Arabidopsis thaliana: one gene and its partner. The protein of the gene in region 2 purifies or fractionates together with the protein of the main gene of each other region. This does not show direct contact. Each region holds a gene or a part of one and is shown on either strand. Other genes may lie near its edges. The genes, in order: AT3G20390 and DJ1B.

Evidence for each region.
Region 1: the proteins of DJ1B (region 2) and AT3G20390 fractionate together in Arabidopsis thaliana (co-fractionation; one large-scale study listed by BioGRID). This does not show direct contact.

Annotation. Positions count from the first base shown.
Region 1 is NC_003074.8:7,109,268-7,114,109, forward strand, and holds AT3G20390 (endoribonuclease L-PSP family protein), read right to left. Parts: upstream 2,663-4,842; 5' UTR 2,633-2,662; coding exon 2,245-2,632; intron 2,018-2,244; coding exon 1,902-2,017; intron 1,802-1,901; coding exon 1,757-1,801; intron 1,373-1,756; coding exon 1,299-1,372; intron 1,204-1,298; coding exon 1,154-1,203; intron 1,055-1,153; coding exon 960-1,054; 3' UTR 619-959; downstream 1-618. Other genes in the region: AT3G20380 (TRAF-like family protein), read left to right, coding at 1-20, 111-271, 343-503; AT3G20395 (RING/U-box superfamily protein), read right to left, coding at 2,753-2,896, 3,004-3,159, 3,329-3,412, 3,615-3,769, 4,393-4,525. UniProt on the Arabidopsis thaliana protein: Hydrolyzes the Ser-derived enamine/imine product of Thr dehydratase, protecting the plastidial branched-chain aminotransferase BCAT3 (AC Q9M401) from inactivation. Involved in Ile biosynthesis.
Region 2 is NC_003070.9:19,864,072-19,869,246, forward strand, and holds DJ1B (Class I glutamine amidotransferase-like superfamily protein), read right to left. Parts: upstream 3,319-5,175; 5' UTR 3,271-3,318; coding exon 3,109-3,270; intron 3,031-3,108; coding exon 2,830-3,030; intron 2,730-2,829; coding exon 2,580-2,729; intron 2,490-2,579; coding exon 2,307-2,489; intron 1,867-2,306; coding exon 1,786-1,866; intron 1,649-1,785; coding exon 1,448-1,648; intron 1,362-1,447; coding exon 1,221-1,361; coding exon of another isoform or gene 1,209-1,220; exon of another isoform or gene 1,069-1,208; coding exon 871-1,068; 3' UTR 699-870; downstream 1-698. Other genes in the region: ABCG10 (ABC-2 type transporter family protein), read left to right, coding at 1-579; AT1G53282 (Plant thionin family protein), read right to left, coding at 3,933-3,969, 4,059-4,264. UniProt on the Arabidopsis thaliana protein: May be involved in oxidative stress response.

The DNA of each region.
Region 1 (4,842 bases), on a different chromosome or scaffold from region 2:
TCCATTGGAGGAAGAAGCATGTGAGTACCACATCATTACAGAAGTAAAAACTTTGCGCTATAAGAGTATAGTGGTAGTAATTAACAATTATTGTTTTATATGATGATCAGGTATTTACAAGTGTTTCCGAATGGTCGTAATCTTTCAAAGGGAAAAGCCATGTCGCTGTATCTTAACATTAACGATAAATTCAAACCCTTTGAGATGATTTATGTTCGAGCCAAGCTTCGAGTTCTTAACCAACGCAAACTCAATAACGTCGAAATACAAGGTACGTAAGAAAATGGATATATAACATCTCATCGCCATTGACTAATGGGATTTTACTTTCTTTTTTCGCAGTTAGTAATTGGTACACTTCTTGGTTTTATTACTCGGGCGACTTTCAGATTATCCCTCTAGCTGATCTCAGAGATTCATCAAAGGGTTTTGTTGTGAATGATATGTTGAAGGTTGAAGTTCAACTCGAGGGCATTTCCTCAACCAAGTGGTACCCTAGTTAGATTTCTCAAACTATAGGAACTTGAAGCTCCATGTTTTTCCTTTGTTACCAAACCACCTAATAATAATAAAGGGTAATTTGTGTTTGCATTTTTTTTTACATATATTTTCTTTCTCTAGCAATATTAAATTATCATTCCTCTTCTAACGACCATATTAAGTTATTAACTCTTGTCTCTTCAAGCATAATGGTTTTCACTCAAATAAAATAATGTATACAATCAATACATATACGTCAACAGCAAATGAGGGTGGACAAGACACTAAATAACTTATTCTTGATTAGAGGCTTTTGATTTGTAACCAACCTAATGGTTGATAATCCGCAACATTTTTCGTAGTGCAGCAAAATGAAAAGTAGGTTAAATATGGGTTAAGCCCCAAAAACCATTGTTTCTCTTATTTGTTTTGACATCTTCCGGACCAAAATACCCTTCGTAGAGATTGATTTGAGTGTTCTAGAGTGTTGCAATACATTCAATCTCGATCTTGGCGTTTAGAGGCAAAGCTGCAACTTGATACGTCGATCGTGCTGGAGAAGGAGCTGGGAAGTCTGCAACAGAGACAAATGTTTCATGCCCTTAACGACTCCACTAATAATTATGCATCTCAAACAAAGTAGGAACACAAACAATCTTGTTAAAGAACTCACATTTGGCATATATCTCGTTCACTGTCTTGAAGTCAGCCAAATCAGCCAACCTTTGAGAGAAAACCAGAAGAGATTGTTTTTCTTTCTATTTAGATTCAGAATTCAAATGGACAATGGTACTGTTGAAAAAAACAAGATCCCTTACATGATTGTTGTCTTCACCACCGAGGAATAATCAGCACCACTAGCTTTCAATATCTCCCCCATGTTTTTGAGTACCTTTGATATTCCATAAGATAATAGAAGCAAGTAGATAAAATCAGGAAGGAAAAACAGAGCAACTCAACCTTGCTACAACTACACTGGAACAAGTTAATTTGAAGACTAATACCAACCAAATCAAGAATTTTAAAGCAAAACCCAAAAGTTTCAAAGGCTTAGTTTTGTATCATGAAAGTTTATATCCCAATAAACTCAGCTAGAATAAGGCACATTAAGTTGTCATCCCTCACTACATTTTCACCAACAAACAACATCATGACGACCTAGAGGCTAGACCTCCTTTTCTGTGGATAATCATCCACCAAAACAGAGAAGCAAGTGGAAAGTACTCTAAACAAAACCAATTTTTATAGAGACTACGGTGACAGTTTGAAAGCTAACCTGCTCAGTCTGATCTTCGACGCTCTCCGAAACAAACTTTCCAGTCTATATACACAAAACAAAAAGAGCAAATCTTGTAATCTTAGAACACAGAAAAGAGAAACAACATGGTGATTACACAGTTTCATATCTTATATATACGGACCTCAGGTATAAGTCCAAGAACACCTGAAAGAAAAACCAGATTATTGGCTTTAATGGCCTGAGAGTAAGGTCCCAAAGCAGCTGGTGCTTTCTCAGTAGACACAACTTCCTTCTTCACTGCACACCACACACAACATCACATTTCTTTAGTAAAAACCCTATTCTCAAACCCTTGATCATTCAATACGGAAGATGAAAGAAACTAAAACCCAATACTAACAAACATATGCATTGATGATAACTGAAATCAATTTCAACTTTTTGACACTGACATTCATAAAAATCGCATCTTTAGAAAGTACTAATATCGGTCCAAATTGGAGAAAATTGAGTAAAATCGTCACCAGAAGAAGCAGAGACAGAGAGGGAAGCGAAAGGAGGAGATCTAGAAGACATTCTGAAGAGAGAAACACCAGCGAATGTTGCGCAGCCGACACCAGCAGCGACCAATGGGGTACGAGTGGAGCGAAGTGCGGTGGAGAGGTCGAGTGTTGGAGTATTTATGGATCTGAAAACCGACCAAGTCATCTCACTCTCTCCGGCGCCGACAAGAAGTATAGAATAGCGAATGGACCACGAGAGAGAGAGAGAAAGGTAGGTGAAGAAGAAGAAGAAGACTGAGTCGATGCGATTGGATTTTAAGCAGATGATTCTCGTGCTTCTTCTTTTGTCTTCTTCCTTCTCTTCGAAATGTTTTTTTGTATTTCCCACTTTACCCTTAGTTAGGTACATATATTACTGAGAATTTAATTTTTATTTTTGTGTAGTTTAGTTGGATTGCAAATTTTAAAAATTTGGACCCGTTGGGTCATGTCGGTCCATAGCTTTGTGAAGTTTATCCACAACATATTGTTATGTAGAAGTTGTGTTATGTGAAAGATGGTCTCTACAAATGGGGCAAGTTTCTTGTCTAAGCAACCACTCATCTATGCAATTCATATGAAATGTGTGGCCACATCTTGCTAGCTTTCTTCCTACTTCCCCTTCTTCCCAATCCTACACACCCCAAAAATGAACATTAGAAATATATATGATTTAAGTCATTATTATCATATATTAAAATCTGATTCCTAGATGATTCTAATTAATTACATTTTTATCACCTGTAAGCAAATCGAGCAACTCGATTTTGTTTGATGTTCTGAACGGTTGTAGAACATCGGGATGTTCTGAATAGAGCTCTTCGATAGTCCCTTTTTTTCATGATTGAAATCGTATAAGTTTGAACTCTCCATGTAACTTGTATCCAATGCTATTATCTGCATTTTGTATTATAATATTACCGGAGTTAAAATTTTGTAAAATATACTTAGTTTAACGCTTTTTGTTATGGTTCTGATTTTACGTTAGAAAATATCGTGTTCTTGTCAAATAAAAAGACGTAGTTGAAAAAAAGTCAGAAGAACAAAAAGAATGGAGAGTACTTACTTGCCATTGATATGCTTTGAGAACAAAAGGTCTAACCAATCCCATAATGGCTTTCCCATTCACTACTCTCCTGAGTAAAGCCACCTGCCACTCTTTTCATATTTTTGTCACCAAACTATTGTTACCATAACATCATCTTTTATTCAGATAACTAGTTACTAGAATACCATTCATTTTTAGCTAGCTTTCTTAATTACAGGACCACTCCCACTATTTAACTAGAAACATATGGTTGTTTAGTGATTTATTTTTTAGATTCTAGGGTTATATGTAGAGTCACAATCACCTTAGACAAAGGTTGATCACTATGTAGCACCGGTCCAAAGAGTTGGACCGCAGTGATAACTCCAGCCACCACTCCAAGCACACTACCTTGAAGAAATCCGATGTCAGTGGTGTGACCTTCGATGGCTCCTACAATGGCGGCTACCACAACACTAGCTACATTCAAAATTAATGACATTTCGTGATCTTATAAAATTGTTTAACATGGAATGTGGAATGAAAACAATGCAATGTGATATGTTAAAATGATACATACCAAAAAGAAAGTATATTTTTCTAAGAATTTGGATGAAGATATTGTTGACAAAAAGATATACTTTTCTTAAAGAATGAGAATTTAAGGGTAGAGAATCCATACATAAGATAAGTTATTAAATTCAATTAAGGAATGCATAGACAACAAGTAATTCAGGTTAAAGGAAAAAACTAAGAAAATGGAAAAGAAGATCCCACATCAGACTCTTATGGTAAGTAGAAGTTGCTTGACACATCGCATCCATTCAAGAATTTTCTCTTTATCTTTTTGTTAATATGTTTTAGTTCTTTTATCAAACACTCATGTCAAGTTGTCAACTATATATAGTATACATATGTGTGGATTCATATATGAGAGGTAAGTACATGTCAATGAAGTACATATATCCAAAACCAATGAGATGGCGTCTCAAGTTTCATCTTTAAAAGTACGTTAGTTTAGCAAGCATCTATAGAATTCAAAAAAAAAAAGGGGAACAAACAGCATTAAATGATAAGAAAATGAAGATAACTTGTAAATTTACCGGAAGCAAGAATGAAGATGAATGAGCCCAACAAAGCTCGTTTTATCGTTCTTGACATTTTGAAGATCACGCAAGTAATCCAGAAAGAAACAACATATGTGAATTTCAGAAGAATCATCTTAGAAATGCCCATGAAGAAAAGATGGAAGACTAATTGATTTTTTTTCTTTCTCTTATAAGATATTTTGAATTTGTCTATTTATGGGGTGAGAGCTTGAATTGGAGAGTGGTGTGGAGTGTGAGAAAAGAGCAATTTATAAAGGAAAAAAGAGAGAAAGGAGGAGGAGTTGCATTTAAGAAGCTGAACTACCCATACCTCTAATCTACATTGCATTGGCGACTCTATTGGCGCATGCATGAACTTGCGCCCACAGAAGAATCTAAATGTTTTATAAAATAAAATAAAAGCAAGAAAATTGAATGGAGAAATTAATGCAGTTTTGAAATATG
Region 2 (5,175 bases):
ACAACAGAGGGACTTCCAATTTTCTTGCAAGACAGGAGAATCCTAATGAGAGAGACATCGAGAAGGGCTTACAGAGTTTTGTCTTACGTTTTAGCAGATACTCTCATATTCATTCCCTTCTTGTTGATCATAAGCATGCTCTTTGCTACGCCGGTTTATTGGCTGGTCGGTCTCAGAAGAGAGCTAGACGGCTTCCTCTACTTCTCATTGGTGATATGGATTGTTCTTCTGATGTCAAACTCTTTTGTCGCATGTTTCAGTGCTCTTGTCCCAAACTTCATAATGGGGACATCAGTAATCTCAGGTCTCATGGGATCTTTCTTCCTCTTCTCCGGGTATTTCATTGCAAAGGACAGGATCCCCGTTTACTGGGAGTTCATGCATTATCTCAGCCTCTTCAAGTATCCATTCGAATGCCTGATGATCAACGAGTATCGAGGAGACGTGTTCTTAAAACAACAAGACCTCAAAGAGTCTCAGAAATGGAGCAATCTTGGTATCATGGCAAGTTTCATCGTCGGGTACAGAGTCCTTGGATTCTTCATCTTATGGTACAGATGTTACAGAACAAGAAGCTAGGTTAATAACAATGATCTGCAGATATAATTCAATTTGTTTTGTAATTTTATAAGAAATTTTACTTTCTCATATTCTTTCTTTTTGTTCAGCACTTTCTTATATTCTAAAATTCGCAATGTAAAGTAACAAAAAAACTTTCTGATAAAAACAGAGTAAACTCGTTTATTTATAAGACAGTTTTAAGCATCACACTTAGTACAAAGCTCACCACAACAACGGTACACTCATTGATCGTTTGATACTAAAGCCTTTTTCTTATTAAAGTCACTCTTACCTAAGATACTCATGAGTTTACACAAGTGTTGCCTTTGAGAGCTGAAGTCCTTTCTCGCGCCCGTAAAACTTCTCTACAATTGCAAGTGCAAACTCCAATGAGGTTCCTGGACCCCTGCTCGTTATGAGATTGCCGTCCACCAAGACTCGATGCTCGATGTGACTCTGGTCCGTCAGTTTGCTGCACATTGCTGGAAACGCTGTTGCCTTCTTACCCTGTAAAAAAATCCATTAAAAATTGTGACCCTTCCCTTAGTTTTAAGTGCAAAAATAACGGTTTGATAACAGAATACTCCATGCCATCGGATATATAGTAATGATCCTACACATCTAAGCAAATGTGTGTGCTATTGTGATTACTCTCGTACCTTGAGTAAACCATGTGGCTCAAACACCAGAGCAGGAGAGGCACAAATTGCTCCATATGGTTTGTTTGATTCCGCCTGCTTCTTTAACATATTCACTAGCTTCTCCGAACTTGCAAATGCTTCAGCACCGCCGAGACCACCCTGATAATAAAAAGAGAAGTTCATCATGTTGGCCTCAACTTGCTTGACACTATAAACTTTAGTAATTTGAAGAAGTTAGCACTCACAGGCAACACAATCAGATCGTACGAATTCTTTTCAGCCTCGTCGAGAAGCACATCTGCCACCAGCTTGACTTTCCGAGATGCTACCACTTCCAAACTGTTACCAAGCGCAGCTACGACAACATTTGCTTTTGCCCGCTTCAGGACATCAATGATAGCAACAGCTTCCATTTCCTCCGAGCCATCTGCAATGGGTACAAGAATCTGAAAAGGAAAAACATGATCTCTCAGTGTACGGAAGATTGATTAAGAAAGACGCATGAGCTCAGTAAAGCAAGTGTGAAAAGTTTTGCCAGTCTTTTTTTTCTTTTCATTTTGCCAGACAGGCAATTGAAAGCTACCTGTGGGGTACCCTCGAATGACCAGCTGACTTGGTTAAGCTCAGTAATAGTATACTCATCACCAGGGTTGGGACGCATCACCTGATATGCAAAGGGGAAGAATAGAGACTAAGAGGTTACCATGGAATAAAGCCTATGCTACCAAGGAATGGTTGTTTCTTTGTGGAAACCTAAATTTTTCAGTGTCCTATATAGCTTTCAACTGTCTGTAATCTCACAAGAACAGTCACTGATCAGTGGACAGGGGAAATAATGCTGAAAAATTCAGCCACAGGCCTAGGCTTCAAGGAAATCACAGTATTAGTGAGGTCGAAAACACGTATTTGTATTTTTTTACATGAACTAACAATACTAGGGTGCTTTAAAGAGTGTTAAATCAAATAAGTGCTCCCCTCGAATCAGCTACTAAATATATCCTTCTTTGCGGAGAGCCATCTTCTCAACAGAAACTGGCCTCTAAGATCTGTCGATTATTTGGAGACCAAATTAAGGTTGATAGAAGAGTCAGGGATAAGACATACCAAGGGGCCAGAGACTTCAACAGCTTTCTCTTTCCCAAGAAGTTGCTCCACAAGCGTGACAGAGAATTCCATGGTAGTTCCAGGCCCTCTACTGGTCACTATCTTCCCATCAATTTCCACTCTTGACTCAACAGCTGTCGCACAAGCCGCTAGTTTCTCCATAAAAACCGGGTAACATGTAGCCTGCAAGCAACGTATGTGATTTATACACCAAAATACAAACTCAAAAGAAAAGAAAACTTCTTGGATACTGATCACTCACTACACACATACTTTTTTACCCTCTAGTAGTCCCCAAGTACCAAACGCCAACGCCGGCGCACAACAGATAGCAGCGTTAAGTCGTCCATCAGTGTCTTGCTTCTTCACCATCTTCTCTAAAGGTTTACAATTCTTAAGAGTCTCACCACCAGGAAGTCCTCCCTTAACCAATCACATCACCAAAACAAATATGAAATCAATACATCTAATTGAGAAACTATTTCGATACCAAATGGATTCAGATTGGCAGAGAGAGACGTACAGGGAGCATAATAAGGTCGAAAACCGAGTCGGTGATATCAGAGAGAAGAGTATCAGCGACCATTTTGATTCCATGGCAAGCATCAACGCCGACCTGATTCTCAACGGAAGCCACCGTAACATCCGCTCCGCCTCGCCGTAGCACATCGATCATAACCACCGCTTCAAACGGCTCCGTACCATGAGCAACAGGAATCAAAACCTAAAGAAAACTCAGATTTATCAAGAGAAATTTACAGGATCGATAGGGATAAGAACGAAATCGATGAGAACGATGTACCTTCTTAGTAGATGAAGACATAGTTGCAGAGATAGAGAAGGATCGTCGATTTACACGAAGAGAGATTCGTCTCGGAGAATAGTGATGGAGTTTTTTAGTGTTAAAAAAGGGAGTGACAGTGATTTTGTTAAAATAGCGATGACACAACGACGACGACGCCATTGACGTTTTTTTTTTTCCTTAAAGAACTTTTGATGAAAGAGAAGCAGTGATGAAACGGGCTTTATCCTGACGTGTTTTAATGTGATTGGATGGAAAATGACAATCAGCCATTAATCTTTTAACACGTCATCAATCAACTCAAGACGGCGTGTAGTTTGGTTTATCAGAAAACAACTTCCCGGTTCAGAGTTTTGTTCATAAACTTGTTGTGGTTTTGATGTATTGATGAGAGATAATATTGTAGGAGAAAGAAAAGAAAATACATGCCTAGTCCAGGCTATAATGATTAGTGGGTCTAGTCCAACTTTTACAAGCCATAAAACAGCCCAATAACACAGATCTATGATGTGAACTTATGAAGTTGTGAACCCAATTAAGGAAGGTTTCCGAGTGGAGTAGATGAGATTTGCATGTTGAAAATTATGCAAAGTGCAGATTTGCATTGATGAGATGTTGCTTTGTATTGATGAACATTTTGAGTCCGATAATTTATAATACTACAAAAGTAAACCAAAAATGTTGGTTTTCACTCTTCTATCTTCTTTTAATCTTTGCTTCTTTTATAATTGGTATAAAAAAAAGTTTTATAATTTAAAAAATATTTTTATTGATATGAAAACTTCATCAATCTTACAAATATCTCGACTATTTTGTCAACTTATCTACCCATTTATGTTTCTCATTTCTATAGTCTCCATCCTGCAATTTTTTTATATAAATCATGTCAATTTCTTTATACAAAATATTTTTTTAATCAAACTAAATAAAACAAGTGAAGAGATTATTACTGGGATGATTGAGCTGACTGAAGTCTACGACATTTGCGGTCACATTTATCTTTACAGTATTTTTCTGGATGTGTAAAAAAAAAGTTACACTTGGTCTCGCAAAGGTCCATGCATGTAGCATATGAAAGCCCTTCTACTTCTTCTACCATAGCAACCATAACTACCAACACCACCACCATCAATACAACACATTTTTTAAGACTCATTTTTTCTTGTATAAATAATTATATATATGTTCACTACAAACTTTGTATATATATATATATATAGGTAAGAATCATGCACTGGTAAATCTTATGTTATTTAATGTCATTAATAATATGTTTACGTTTTATTTATTATATTTCCACATGATCCTACTTTATTATAGTTTTATTTATTATATTTCCAAATAATCCCACTTTATTAATGAAATGTTTAATTTTAGAACTAATTTCTAAATCTTATAATTTTTTATAAATAGTTTATTTAATATATTTTAAAATGATATAATTAATTTTGGAGATATTTGAGATAAAAAAAACTTTAGCCTTTCAACTTATTTACAATGGCACTCCACAAACATTGCCTTTTTTATTAAAATATAAAAATATCAAAAAATATCAAAATAAAAGATTTAGCACTCCACAAACATTGCCTTTTTTATTAATTGCTAATTTTTTAAAACCTATCTATCTAATTTAAACATAAATATATGATTCTTCTTTCACTTTTATTTGACTTTATTTATTTAATTTATTTTAAATTTCTATAAAATACTTATAGTTAATAAAATATTAGATTTTTTATGCATATAATGTGATTCAAATATTTTTAAAATAGATTACTCAATCGATGAAAAAATATGTGTATAATGTCCCATATTGCATACAAAGACATGAAGGAGAAGAACCAAAGGAAGGTTTTCAAGTGAAGATGAGATTTGCATGTTGAAAATGATGCAAAGTAAAGATTTGCATTGATGATATATTGCTTTGTATTGATGAACATTTTGAGTCCGATAATTTATAATACAAAATTTAACCCTAAAAAATTGGTTTGTACTCCTCTATCTTCTTTTGATATTTTCTTTTTAATTTTGAAAGGAGATGAAGATAATAAATATGAGAGTTGGCTT